2 linked regions of the Macaca mulatta genome follow. The protein of the gene in region 1 purifies or fractionates together with the protein of each later gene. This does not show direct contact. Links are inferred from orthologs where the notes say so. Each region holds a gene or a part of one and is shown on either strand. Other genes may lie near its edges.

Region 1 (7,580 bases):
AGGGTGTCTATAGTTAAAAATCATATATAGTTTCAAATAGCTAGAAGGAGGATATTGAATGTTCCCAGCACAAATACATGATAAATGTTGGGGATTATGCATATACTAAATACACTGATCTGGTCGCTATACATCATATGTATTAAAACATCACTATATACCCCATAGATATGTATAATTATTATGTCAACTTTAAAAACTAAATCAAAAATAATTTTAAGGTATTTGAAATACCATAAACAGATAGTTACAATGACCATATGTATGTCATTTTAAAGTCTTTAGCAACAATGTGAGTTGGAGAAACTGCAATTTGAGAGAAGTAATTGGCTACATTTAGTAAGTGCCAGGGCCAAGCTGTAATCCGTGGTTGTCTGACTCCAGAGTTCATGTGCTTTCCATTTTTGGAGGTATAAGGGTTTTGTTTGTGAAGAAGAGTCTATCTGTGCCTAGAATTCTATTAAAAAGTCAGTGATTTGACTTAAAACATTCAGCTCAATTTCATTACAGTGCTGATATTAGGGCAAAAATAAAGGCTGTAGGGCTGAAATTTTCATCGTCATCTGATCCAACCACATGCAGCTCAACTCTGTCCACAGTATACCCAGTGTACCTGTGCTCCTGCCAGGGGTCTGCCGCATACCTGGAAGCGTGCTCAGGGGAGGAGACTCAGCTCTGCTTGAGATTGGTAGCTCTTAGGATCAAGCCAAAATCTCACTGTTTGTAGACATTGACATGATAGCTCTGCAGACATTTTACATTTATACTAAGATCTTCTGTGTCCTAGTGAGAAAGATATGTTATTCCCGACTGTGAACTGGAGAGCATGCAGTTTTCAGAGGTTCTGATTTTCATATGTAACAAGATGTTCACAAACTTGGGGATCACACAGGTGTATTTGATTTGCCTTTTACTTTAATATTGACTGTTACATTTGAATTAATTTATTATTACCTTTTCACTAGTAATTATTACCTTTTAACTAGTAATAATCTTACTAGTTATTCCTTTTAATTAGATGTTAATGAGAGTACATAATGTTTATACCATTAAGGCTGGCTTCCTTAAGATTGCTTAATTTTCCATAATTGCTTATGGAAAAATAGACTTATATCATGGTCTGAAGAAAAACACATATTAATATAGGCACAAATCTGGAAAAAGAATTGCCAGGAGGAAAAGTAGGCTGTGAATATGAATAATCCCCAAAGAAGAAACTGCCATGGTAGGGAGAGTGCCAAGCTGGGATGTGCCAGCAGTTGATGGCAAAGATGGCAGGGTGAGAGGTTCCAAGCACAAAGTGTATGGATTGACTGGATGGAAATTCTCAAGAGCTGTTCAGAGTGGAAAATAGAAACAGGATTTGCTTTCTTCTGTTGGAGTTGAGTAGAACAAGGATAGATGGGCCAGATGATCAGTTTCCCTTCCCTCCTGCACACTTACTCACCTGCATTGTGCTTGTGCTGGCACAGCTCTGGGCTACTGAGATGACTCAGTCATGGGGAGGGGGTGCCACGTAGACATTTAATAAAGTTCTGCGCAGTAAGGAACATGCAATAATAACACCTCTACAAAAAGTCACAAAGTTATCATCATAATTGTCCTTAAAATGTGTCTCTATGTATTTGATTTCTTAATGCATATTCAAATTGTAAATCATCAAAGAGCGATAAATAAAATAAAAATGTAAATTTTTCTCATATTAGTCTTCTCTTCTTCACTATTTAGGTGTCTTAATAGCCTGTTACTTAGTTTTTGCAACAAGAATGACTGCTGACCAAGCAATTATATTTGTGCGGGCAAAGCGACCCAATTCCATACAAACCAGAGGGCAGCTCCTCTGTGTAAGGGAATTTACTCAGTTTCTAACTCCTCTCCGCAATATATTCTCTTGCTGTGATCCCAAAGCACATGCTGTCACCTTAGCTCAATATCTAATTCGCCAGCGTCATCTGCTTCATGGTTATGAGGCACGACTTCTGAAACATGTGCCAAAAATTATCCACCTAGTTTGCAAATTGCTTCTGGACTTAGCGGAAAACAGGCCAGTGATGATGAAGGACGAGTCCGAAGGACCTGGTCTCTCTGCTGAAATAGAAAAGACCATGTCTGAGATGGTCACCATGCAGCTGGATAAAGAATTACTGAGGAATGACAGTGATGTGTCCAACCCGCCTAACCCCACTGCAGTGGCAGCAGATTTTGACAATCGAGGCATGATTTTCTCCAATGAGCAAGAGTTTGACCCTCTTTGGAAAAGGCGGAATGTTGAGTGCCTTCAACCCCTTTCTCATCTGAAAAGGCGGCTCAGCTACAGTGACTCAGATTTAAAGAGGGCCGAGAACCTCCTGGAGGAAGGGGAGCCTCCACAGACAGTGCCTGTCCAGGTCTTGGTTGGCCACAACCCCAGGCAGCAGAAGCGCATAAGCCATTGTTACATCCCACAGTCTCCAGAACCAGACTTACATAAGGAAGCCTTGGTTCGCAGCACACTTTCTTTCTGGAGTCAGTCTAAGTTTGGAGGGCTGGAAGGGCTCAAAGATAATGGCTCACCAATTTTCCATGGACGGATCATTCCAAAGGAAGCACAGCAGAGTAGAGCTTTCTCTGCAGATGTTTCAGGCCCACACAGCCCTGGGGAACCAGTTTCACCCAACTTTGCAAATGTCCGTAAGGATCCAAACCCTACTCACCAGCAAGTGTCTCACTGTCAGTGTAAAACTCATGGTGTTGGGAGCCCTGGGTCTGTCAGGCAGAACAGCAGGACACCCCAAAGACCTCTGGACTGTGGCTGCAGTCTGAAAGCACAGTTCTTGGTTGAACATGAAACCCAGGACAGTAAAGATCTGGCTGAAGCAGCTTCACACTCTACATTACAGTCTGAATTGAGTGCTGAGGCAAGAAGAATACTGGCGGCCAAAGCTCTAGCAAATTTAAATGAATCTGTAGAAAAGGAGGAACTAAAAAGGAAGGTAGAAATGTGGCAGGTATTATTAGTACTTTATTTAATTATAGATATGTTGGAAATATGTCAGGGCAAAAGTGTAATACATTTTCCCAAACTTATTTATTATAGAAATGTGAAGATACGTTTGCATAATACTTAACTTTCAAACTTCAGGTTTCTCATCTCTGATGCAAACCTGATGTTTTAGAAAAAACACAGGATGTTTGTGTGGTTTCATTTAAATCTGCATATGCAAGAAAGCACTTGGTACGATGCTTGACCCACACAAGGCATTGATATTAGTAGCTTCTTTCTTTCTTCCTGGGTCTATGGGGGCAACTGGCCCACAGCAGACAGCATTCGAAACTGACTTGAAGCATCTTTAACCTGAGATCTGGCAGAGGGAACCATACTTTGAGAACCACTGACCTACAGACATAAATAAAATAGTTATTTTCCAAAGCTCATCAATACTAGTGCTGAGCAAGGTCAGAAAAGTGAGGCTGTCTCCTTGGCATCCCCTCCTTCAGACTTGCCAATCCCGCTCTAATAGGGCAACTATGGGAAATCAGGAGAGCAAGTGGGTGGAACCACAGATTCCTACGTGCCATTCACTTTGGCTGAGATGAGGTCTTTGGGGTCCATTTCTTAGCTTTTACTTCAATTAGAATGTAAATTTTTAACCCTTTTTTGTGTTGTGCTTTTACTAGGATACAGTCATAAGTCAGCCATACTTTCTTTGCCCTGAATGAGCGAGCACCTGTTCTCGAGAAAAGATAGGCCTTATAAACCTAGCTATCAGAAACAGCTAAACTAACCCAAAAGGGGGCTGACTTGGACTGTCGTGAATCACCAAAATCTTGACTTTTGAGACCATAACCTACTGTGAATTATTTTAATAGCTCGCTTTCATAGTCTGCCATTGATTAAACAAGGCATATACAATTTCTGAGTGCCAGTATCTCTTCAGGTGCAGAGGCATGAAAAATAAGTTTGGAGCTTCACACTAACTTACAACTATATAATGGGAGGAGAGAACTTTTGGTAAAAATTTTATTCTTCAGAATTGTGTTTTGCCTATCCAATAGTTAAATGTATTGCTTTCTTCCAAAATGACTTGTTTTCTTTATTTTCTGCTCCAAACTGAAAAAGTCTTTCATTCAGTCAGCAAATGTTTCCTGGGCATTACTGTGTGTTAAGAGTTAGCAAGCAAGAGAGTCTTCTATTTTAGATGAAAATCTCGCACCCTCACTCCTGGGTCAGCCCCAGTGGCTGTGCGAGCTCTGCCTGTGGTGATGAAGTGTTCAGGACTTGGTTTGGGCCAGACTGTACGTAGAGTATATGAAAGCATTTTCTGGAGGTGAACACAGACCTTTAATGAGGATAGTTTTGTGTTTTTTTTTCCTTTCTAGATTTTATTTTAGGACTTTTAGTCATCAAAAAATCAGCTGAATTCTGGAAAAGAATAAAATGAACATTATTTGAATAGTATAATGCCATCCATGCCTGTACTAGACCATTTCACATATATTATTTCATGTGATTTTTCACAGTTATCATAGAACATATCTGTGAGGCAGATGATACTATTTCTACAGTCTTTGTTAATCTTATGAATTCAGTGTCACAGATGAGGATGCTAAAGGTCACGAAGGTTAGAGGGTAAGTGACTTGCTCAGGGTCACATGGCGTGCATGTGGCAGAGTCAGGGTACAGCTCATGTGTTTAATACTTTCCATTATCCCAGGATTCTTGGCTAACCTCACTGGAAAGCCTCAGGAAACATCATGATAAGATAGTCATTTTACTAAGAGGGTTTTTGAGTAGTGTCAGTTCTGCCCAGATTGTCTGCTTCATAAGATTGAATCAAGAGCTACTTTGTTTTATACATGATCTATGGAATAGGAAGGACTGTCAATAACAATGTATTGGCGTATTCATAAGATAATAAAAACAAACCCAGTACCAGAGGGCCCTTGTGGTGTAACAGAAACAGCACAGACTCTGGAGTAAGACAGAACTGGGTATGAACACCCCCTTTGCCATTTTCTAGCTTTTGGCTCGTAGGTGAGTTATTTCATCTTTCTTGAGCCCCAATGCATTTACCGGTGAGGAAGCTCCCTGCTGGGTGCCGTTTGAGAGTTAGAGATAAGACAGGCATTACAGTTTCAGTCCCACTGTGTGCATGTAGTAAATATTGGATAGGTGAATGAACGAGTGAATGGTAGCAATTATTACACTTACTTCTATTGTAAAAATGTATTTGACTCACTGAAACATAAATCTGAACCCTATCAGAAATTCATTAAAATCCTTATCTCACTTTTCCTTTGCTCTCTGTGAGGTAAAGTTTTAAAATCTCATGCTTAAATTTTCTCTAAGCAATTGGAGTATCAGAAAAACTTTCCAGTTATTTTCCCTATGTCAGATTTCAGGCTTATTGTTAAATCCTACATAGGATTCTAAAAAGATATTTCAAAGAAGTACATATGCCCCATTTACCAACTTTCAAGCACCTTCATTTTATTTTTGCAGACTTCGAAGCTCAGTCAAAGCCTTTCCTTAGACCCCAGGTTAATGTATAAATGTTCCCTTATTTCTACTTTTTTGTCTACCATCTACTTTATTGCAAAAAATAGTTCTGTTTTGTTCACCAGAAGCCTGAAAAGGAAGGCTCTTCTGAACTGTTTCTGTGGTTTCTGAATAAAGTAGAGAACTTGGATTAACTAAGCCCTTTCTCTGTGCTAAAAGCTTTAACCGACCTTATCTCAGTCAGCCCAACAACTTGTGAGGCAAGGGATGAGTTTCATAGAGAGAAACTGAGGCTCACAGAATTCAATGTCTTAGTCCAGTGTCCATCCTGGAAGTAGAGAGGCTGGGAGGGGTCCCCGTTCTGCACCCGAGAGCCTGAGTCTTTCACTCTCGTGGGCAGTGCGAGAATCATGCAGTGTCAACTGGTGCACCTCTCTCTCCTCTCCCTGTCTCTATCTCTGTTTGTCTGTCTCTTTCTCTTCCTTTTTAGAAAGAGCTTAATTCCCGAGATGGAGCTTGGGAAAGAATATGTGGCGAGAGGGACCCTTTCATCCTATGCAGCTTGATGTGGTCTTGGGTGGAGCAACTGAAGGAGCCTGTAATCACCAAAGAGGATGTGGACATGTTGGTTGACAGGCGAGCAGATGCCGCAGAAGCACTGTTTTTATTAGAGAAGGTAAAGTGGCTGTAGGACCAGTTAATGACTGTAACTGAAGCCCTTAGTTTTTCACGCAGAAAAAAAAATCCATTATAAAAAAGGGAATTCATACAGAACCCCAAATCTAAGTCTAATTTAATAGTTTTTCTAAGAGAAGAGAAGAAACTGATACCCAGTGTAAACGCTTAGAAAATACAAAAATAAAAAATAAAAAGGAGAACTATCCATAGTCCTGGGAGAGGCACTGCAAACATTTTCAAATCTTTTAAACTTATCAATATGTATATTAACTTGTTAAAAATCATTTTAACATGTAAGTTTGTTTCATTTTTGCTTAAAGTTATAGCTGTTTTCCCACAAATAACACAAGCTTTTCATAAATATTGACTGTAACAGATATGATGCTATAACACGAGACTGTGCCATAATTAACCACTTTTTCATTGTTGGGTGTTTGTTTCTACTTATTTGCTGTGAGCATGCATATGAGAAAAATTATGAAGTAGGTTGGGATATGCACTCATTCGTATTTTTAAAAAGGGGTAGGTGTCACACATACATGTATATGTAATTTGTATGTGTAAAATACAGATGTTTTCTATATTTTATGTATAAAATATATATGTTTAAAATGGAGAAAATATGTATATATGTATAAAATATAGAAGGAGAAATAAGAAACTGGTAATAGTGATTACCTTTAGGAAAAGATATTAGAAGACAATGGATCTAGGAAACAGGAGAAATTGTATGAATCTTTTTATACAATTTATCATTTTTATCCATACAGTGATACTAAATTTTCAGTTTAAAATAGGCTTTGTTTTTGTTTTGGTTTGGTTTTTTTTGAGACAGTTTCGCTCTTGTTGCCCAGGCTGGAGTGCAATGGCACGATCTCAGCTCACCGCAACCTCTGCCCCCTCGGTTCAAGCGATTCTCCCGCCTAGCCTCCCAAGTAGCTGGGATTACAGGCATGTGCCACCATGCCCGGCTAATTTTGTAATTTTAGTAGACAGGATTTCTCCATGTTGGTCAGACTGGTCTCAAACTCCCAACCTCATGTGATCCGCCCACCTCGGCCTCCCAAAGTGCTGAGATTACAGGCGTGAGCCACCGTACCAGGCCTGTTTTTGTTTTAAGAAACAATGTTATCGAATAACCAACCTTGAGTTACCTACTATGCTGCATGTAAACATCTCCTCAGTTTCTAAATTTCACTAAAAATCTTCTGCTGTTACTACACAGACACACACACACACGGACACATATGGATGGATGCACACACAGACATACAGATACATGCGCTCACACACATGTACACAGATACAATACACAATACACAGACATGTGCGTGCCTGCACACACAGACACTCACACACCACAGTTACCCAATACACATCTTTTAAGAAATAATTTTTCCTGTATCTGAAGTCCTTTTCTTAG
Region 2 (7,580 bases), on another chromosome or scaffold:
TGTGTGGAAATGTCACATTGTCACATAAAGATAATCCCTTTATGTTTAAAACCAATAAATCATTTTGTCTTGTTTTTGTAAAAGAAAATGCTTTTCAGATTGGATTGGTGTGATACGCAGTGGCATAAGGATTTCATGAAAAAAGTGTATTTAGAACAAGAGCTATTTTCCTTATCTGCTTAAACATATAATGTAATTGAAATTGTTGATAAACCTGGTTAAATGTCCTCATTTGGCTCTTTGTAAATGGCCCTGTGAAAGCATTCTTTTTTTTCTATTTATCTTTTAGAACTTGGTGAGAACTTGCCCATTGAAGATAGAGAGACCATAATTATGAATCAGATTCTGCCCTATATAAAGGTAAACCTGACTTTAGTTTATTTTGTTTCACTCTGATTTGCATAAAGGTAAACCTTAATCTCATTTTTTTTGTTTGTTTGTTTACCTTAAAGCTTTTTGAGTTTAAAGGTTGATAGGGAATGAATGGGGAAGATGTGTTAATGTGCAACATTGTTATTTATCACTTATTAGCCTATTGTAGTTGTAAAATGCTCTTTGGTGCATAGGTTTATGTTACCTAACTAGTAGTCTGAGGAAACATTATCAACTAATCAATATTGAAATAGTGCTGTCTTTAAATTCCTTGGGGTCGGGCATGGTGGTGCATGCCTGTAATCCAAGCACTTTGGGAGGCTGAGGTGGGAGGATTTCTTGAGCCCAGGAGTTTGAGACCAGCCTGGGCAACATAGTGAGACCCCATTGCTACAAAAAATACAAAAATTAGTTGAGCCTGGTGGCATGCACCTGTAGTACCAGCTACTTGGGAGTCTGAGGTGGGAGGACTGCTTGAGCCCAGGAGGTTGAGATGGCAGTGAGCTATGATCATGCCACTGCACTCCAGCCTAGGTGACAGGATGAGACCCTGTCTCAAAAAATTCAGGCCATCTTGGTGGCTTACACCTGTAGTCCCAGCACTTTGAGAGGCCAAGGTAAGAGGATTGCATGAACCCAGAAGTTCAAGACCAGCCCTGGCAATATAGTGAGAACCTGTCTCTACAAAAAATAAAAAAAATTAGCCAAGCCTGGTGGTGCATGTCTGTAGACCCAGGTACTCTGGAGGCTGAAGTGCTCGAGCTGGGAGGTTGAGGCTGCAGTGAGCCAAGGTCATACCACTGCACTCCAGCCTGGGCAACAGAGCAAGACTCTGTCTCCCAGAATAATGGTATGGAAGTTTCTGCTGTCTTGTAATAAAGGCTTTTAATTTTGATTTTATTTTAGGAATTAGTATCCGATACCAATCAACATGTCAAATCGGCTCTAGCTTCTGTAATTATGGGATTGTCTACTATTTTGGGCAAAGAGAATACCATTGAACATCTTCTACCTCTTTTTTTAGCTCAGTTAAAGGATGAGGTGGGTCTTGCTTTATGTTCTGTTGCCTTTGATAGTGATTTGATTTGATTTGATTTTGGTTTGGGGTTTCACTAAAATAGAACCCCCAAAAAGAAAATGGATAAAAAAATCATAACTTATTTTAAACCAATGACAACACCTGTGATTTTGGTTACAGGGTTATAGGTTCCTCAGAAAGTGGGCACGAGGACCCATTAAAGTAAACCTAGAAATGTTTATCACCTTCACCTGACTTTTGTTTTATACTTCCTGGTTCCTTTAAAGCTAATGTGTCTTTGTTTAAAAAGTTTCTTTTATTTGAGTTTAAATATAGTATCCAAAATTATAATGATACCTAATATTTACTGAGTACTGCGTGCCAGGCATGAGCCTTAGTGCTTTGCATATATTTTTACATGTAATTCTCACAACAATCCTATGAGTTAGGTCTTATTATTCCATTTTACAGATGAGAAAGCTGAGGCCCAGAGGGTTAAAGTAACTTGAGCAAAGTCTTTCAACAATGGCAGATCTGAAATTTGAGTGCATCGATTTAATTCCAAAGATTATGCTCTTTACCATCTTTTAGACTTTTCTTGTAGTCATTAGTCTTACAGACTTTTCATTGAAATTTCTGATTAAGATCATTTATGTTCCTTGAGTTATTTATGTACTCTCTATTATTTCTTCAAGATTATCCTTTTTTTTTTTTTCACCTGAGTCAGTACTTTGTAATTTTAAAACTTACTTAGCAGTTTTTATCTTATCCTGACAGGAGACTGTTGGGCACAGTACTTGATTTTTATATGTGGTCTTTTGGGGCTTGTGTGCTTGCAGTGTCCTGAAGTTCGTTTGAATATCATCTCCAATTTGGATTGTGTAAATGAAGTGATTGGAATCCGTCAGCTCTCTCAGTCTCTCCTTCCTGCCATAGTGGAGCTGGCTGAAGATGCCAAATGGAGGGTCCGGCTGGCCATCATTGAGTATATGCCGCTGCTGGCAGGCCAGCTGGTGAGTATGTGTTGCTCCATGAACTGCAGGGTAGTGTCAAATAGTGACAATTTACCTTGGCAAGTAGGAGGCCTAGTAGCCTGTATGCTTACGTTTGTTTAGATGCATGAAAGTATGGCCTTGTTCTTGTTACCTGTGGGATGGTTTTTATGTTTATTAGTGCATAAATTTCTTTTTTTTTTAAGATGGAGTTTCACTCTTGTTCCCCAGGCTGGAGTGCAATGGTGCGATCTCAGCTCACTGCAACCTCTGCCTCCTGGATTTAAGCAATTCTCCTGCCTCAGCCTCCCAAGTAGCTGGGATTACAGGAATGTGCCACCACACCCAGCTAATTTTGTATTTTTAGTAGAGATGGGGTTTTACCACATTGGTCAGGCTGGTCTTCAATTCCTGACCTCAGGTGATTCACCCGCCTTGGCCTCCCAAAGTGCTGGGATTACAGGTGTGAGCCCCTGTACCCGGCCTATTAGTGCATAAATTATAGGTTGAGTATCCCTCATCTAAACATGCTTGGGACCAGCATTTTTGGGACCAGAAGTGGATTTTGGAATATTTGTGTTATAAATACTTACTGGTTGAGCATCCCAAATTCAAAAATCCAAAGTCCAGAATGCTCCAATGAGCATTTCCCTTGAGCATCATATTGGTGCTCAAAAAGTTTTGGAGTTTGGAGCATTTCACATTTTGAATTTTTGGATTTGGGATGCTCAGTCTGTATTACAGAAACATATTTCACCTCATCACCACCAAAAAACAAAGCCATAGAATAATAAGATCAGTTTCTTGGCATATATAATGTAAATTTTATAATATTTAATGCCTTTGTGACTTAAGAAATATTTAACTGAGAAGAAAAGGGATGGTTTTAGGGTAAGTCTGATGTGACTTTTGCTCAAGGAAACTTCCCTGTTTGCCTTGTATTCTAAGTAAAATGTCCCTAGGTACCACTTGCCCTACATTCTGATTAAAGGGAGATGAGGAATCACCATATAAAAAAGAAGTACTGAAAGGCCGGGCACAGTGGCTGACACCTGTAAACCCAGCACTTTGGAGGCAGAGGCAGGCGAATCACTTGAGGCCAGGAGTTCCAGACCAGCCTGGCCAACATGGTGAAACCCCATCTCTACTAGAAATATAAAAACTAGCTGAACACGGAGGTACATGCCTGTAATCCCAGCTACTTGGGAGGCTGAGGCAGGAGAATCACTTGAACCCAGGAGGCGAAGGCTGCAGTGAGCCAAGATCACGCTACTGCACTCCAGCCTGGGCAACAGAGTGAAACTTTGTGTCAAAAAAAAAAAAGTTAGTATTTTGGTCAAAGTCCACATTATCACATTATCTGTTACTGTTTGAGTGTCATGATTAGTTTTACCCTAACTAATCCCATGTTAGATAAAATTTCAAAGCTGGGTTTTATAGCCATATCCTTTCCTTTTTTTGAGTAGGTGACCTTGACTTTTCTAAGTTTGATGTACCTTTATCCCTGTCGGTAGCACTTATTACACAGTATTGTAATTGTCTGTTACAGTCTAGTTGGAGAGATGGGTGATCTCTCAATGGTACCCTAACATAGTGCCCATAATTAATTAGGCACTTAACATTTTTTATTTTGGGGGGCAGGGTCTTGCTGTTGCCCAGGCTGGTCTCAAACTCGTGGCCTCAAACGATCCTCCTGCCTCAGCCTCCTGAGTAGCTGATAATAGGCATGAGCCACTATGCATGGCCAACATTTGTTGATTGTTGAGTATTTTTTGAGAAAGGTGTGTCAGTTTACTATTGATATCACTACAATTTGTTTCCCCTTCCTCACTCCCACTTCCATTCCTTTCAGGTCACAGCATGTGGAATTTGTTTTTTCTTTTCTTGAACCCCTGAATTTGTATTGTTAATTTTAGTACATTTAGTTTATGAACATGCATTATGTGAATGTCTGTGGCATTATATGTTTTATAAAATTGAAAGTATCCGATTCTTTGAAAAGGATACCAGACATATTAGTGCATAGCGAATGGGATCAGGTGAAGTTATTTTGTCATCCTTTTCCTCTGTCACTCCGAAGTGCTATGAGTCATCTTCTCTTCACTGGTGATTGTCATGGATCTACTCTTCAGAGTGGAGAGGAGCAGTGGTTAACTGATTTGCTGAAGATCAAAACTGTCTGGAAGACAGGCTGCATTTTAGTACCATTTCTTTTAACCTCTGCTCCTTCTAGACCTGGAAAGTTTCCCAGGGTTGCCAGCTCTATAGAGAGCAGTGTGAAAACAAGGCAGATGGTGTCTTTGGCTGACTTACACCTGTCTGGCAGGGGTAACATGCCTCAGTCATGAACATTTTGCTTTACAATTTTAACTACTTGTTAGTATATATATTCTCCTTAATTTTTCTTTATCTCTAAATGTTTTTATATCAGATAGTCAATTTATAAAATTCTCTCAAGACTTTATGTATGACCTGGCTTGTGGACCATGGTAAGTAAGTATAAAATTAAACTGCAAAAACTGGAAAGTAGGCCAGGCATAGTGGCTCGCGCTTGTAATCCCAGCACTTTGGGAGGCCGAGGTGGGTGGATCACGTGAGGTCAGGAGTTCGAGACCGGCCTGACCAACATGGTGAAACCCCATCTTTACTATATAGAAGATTAGCCAGATGTGGTAGTGGGCGCCTGTTACTTGGGAGGCTACTTGGGAGGCTGAGGCAGGAGAATCGCTTGAACCCAGGGGGTGGAGGTTGCAGTGAGCTGACATTGCGCCGCTGCACTCCAGCCTGGGTGACAGAGAGAGATTCTGTCTCAACAACAACAACAAACTGGAAAATAAAGATTAATTAAAACTGAAGGAAAATTCTCAACCTGAAATGAAAAAGAAATCTTGGCTGACGTAATCTAAGTGTATGCCAAAATTAGTTCATTAAGATCTTTTAATACAAAGCAATTTTGGGCCGGGTGCAGTGGTTCATGCCTGTAATCCCAGCACTTTGGGAGGCTGAGGCGGATGGATCACTTGAGTCAGAAGTTAAGAGACCAGCCCGGCCAACGTGGTGAAACCCCGTCTCTACTAAAAATGCAAAATTAGCTGGGCATGTGCTGCACGCCTGTAATCCCAGCTACTCGAAAGGCTGAGGCAGGAGAATCACCTGAACCCGGAAGGTAGAGGTTGCAGTACGCTGAGATAGTGTCACTGTTCTCCAGCCTGGGGCAATAGAGTGAGACTGTGTCTCAAACAAAACAAAACAAAACAAACACTATTTTGTCTTAATAACTGTTTTCAAAGCACTGAAACATTATATTACCTCTCTTTATTTAAAATATAGAATCACCGTCAGGAACTTCTTAGAGTTCAAAGAAGCAAGACTGTAAACGTGTAGACCCCAGAAGGGAGGCACTAGGAACGTATATGTCACAGCATTCTCCCATGTGGTGTGGAAGCCCCAGGGTGAGAGGACTGTGTAAATCGGCTCCCGGAGCCCATCCCCAACCTGCACTGAAGTGGCCACCTGTTGACCGTTGGGAGGAACAGGGCTGGGAGAGCAAGCCCTGCCTGGGCTATATCCCCTGTAGTCCTGGGCCTGCTTTATTCTCCCTCCAGGGCTTTCTCCTGTTGTCTCAAAAATACTGTCTTTAATTGGGGATATCTCTGTGTCTTGAGGTCAGTTGCTTTATCGCTAAGGATTTGTCATAATAGTAACCAAAAAGGGAAGACAATTGAGAATTAGTAATATTACCGACAGGTGTTTTCCTGGGTAATTCATTTTTACAGGTAATCCAGATTTGCTTGGCAGACCATCCACAGTGAATTCTTCCTGCTCTTTTGCAGTGTTGTGACTGGCTTCTGGCCACCCTGTTCTCTTTCACCTAGCAGGGCCTGTGCCAGCTCACGTATGCTTTTTGTTTGTTTGTTTATTATTTCCATCCAATAAAATAGATTTATGGTTTGTTTGTAATTCCCATGGTGTTTCCTTTCTGTCTCTTTCATGAATTCAGTTTATTTGAAAACAGCTTTTTTTAGCCTTCAGGTAATCTTGGTGTAATGTAAATAGACCATCTTTATTTCTGAATTTTGGCAAAGTATATTAATGGAATCTTCTGTATCTGTAGGGTGTGGAATTCTTTGATGAAAAGCTGAATTCTTTATGTATGGCTTGGCTTGTGGACCATGGTGAGTAGATAAAAACAAATTATTGAAAGCCTATATATCCATGATGTTCATACATTTCCTTTTAGAAAGGAATCTCAGTCTGACCAGATATTTTGCCTTAATACTGTAGGAATGAAGAAAGGCTCTAATTAAAGTTTAGTCTTCTGAATATAAATTTGATATTTCTACCAATTTTTTTGTATCTTATATTTTATTTCCTCCATTAAACAATTTATTTGCATTATTTCTTACTCAATCTATTACATTATCTTCAGGCCATCTCTTTTATATATCTACTTACTCCTCCCTTATCTGAGGATCTTCTTTTTGACCATCCTGTAATTGGTGTCCTGAGCAGCTATACACTAGGTTGGATGGAGATTGGAATCAGATGAAAGGCCTGGGTGGGAGAAAGAGCTACTTGGCTTTTTTGAGATGACATAGAAGGGGGAGATCTGCAGTGAGACAGTAGAGGATTCTTAGGTGTGGGAAACATTAGCTTTGCCATAGGGATAGAGAGGGCCTGGATTTCTGGTTTGGATGAAAGGAAGACTTACCGCTTGTATTCTCACTGCTGCTGCTACAAAGCTAGGAGAGGGTGAGCTCAGGGCAGGTCAGATAGGACAGCAGGAATGAGCAGGTGACTTCCTGGTGAGGCTTCAGGTAGAGGTATATGTGTGTATCCCCTTGTGTGCCAGGCAGCAGTGGTGACAGATGGATCCTCTGTGCCAGGCCCTAGGTCCAGACTTGACAGCTTCAATAATGAGTGTGAGTGCCCCATGGGGTCATGTGACACTGTCCTTGAGCTTTGATTCCATGTTTTGGTTTGGTGGATATAATAGATATCCTGAGTCAGTTCCACAGTATCTTTTATATACTTTCTATACATATTTAATACATCTCTTTGTTCATCTGTGGGTGCTTATGCCTGGAAATTTGGGAGGAATGAGGATATTTGTGTCTGCTTATATGTGTAGGTGGTTTTGTTAAAGGCATATTTGCATCATATGGAGGATCATATGGTTAAGAGTGTGAAGAGGAAGG

Evidence for each region. The genes of interacting proteins can lie anywhere in the genome.
Region 2: the proteins of PTPDC1 (region 1) and PPP2R1B purify together in Homo sapiens (affinity purification with mass spectrometry; 3 studies listed by BioGRID and IntAct, counting the BioPlex papers as one, with this or other methods). This does not show direct contact. The link is inferred for Macaca mulatta from reciprocal best matches to the Homo sapiens genes PTPDC1 and PPP2R1B.

The regions. Positions count from the first base shown.
Region 1 is NC_133420.1:124,656,902-124,664,481, forward strand, and holds part of PTPDC1 (protein tyrosine phosphatase domain-containing protein 1), read left to right. Parts: intron 1-1,728; coding exon 1,729-2,987; intron 2,988-5,969; coding exon 5,970-6,155; intron 6,156-7,580. UniProt on the Homo sapiens protein: May play roles in cilia formation and/or maintenance.
Region 2 is NC_133419.1:112,490,487-112,498,066, reverse strand, and holds part of PPP2R1B (serine/threonine-protein phosphatase 2A 65 kDa regulatory subunit A beta isoform), read left to right. Parts: intron 1-289; coding exon 290-360; intron 361-1,278; coding exon 1,279-1,413; intron 1,414-2,229; coding exon 2,230-2,403; intron 2,404-6,496; coding exon 6,497-6,557; intron 6,558-7,580. UniProt on the Homo sapiens protein: The PR65 subunit of protein phosphatase 2A serves as a scaffolding molecule to coordinate the assembly of the catalytic subunit and a variable regulatory B subunit.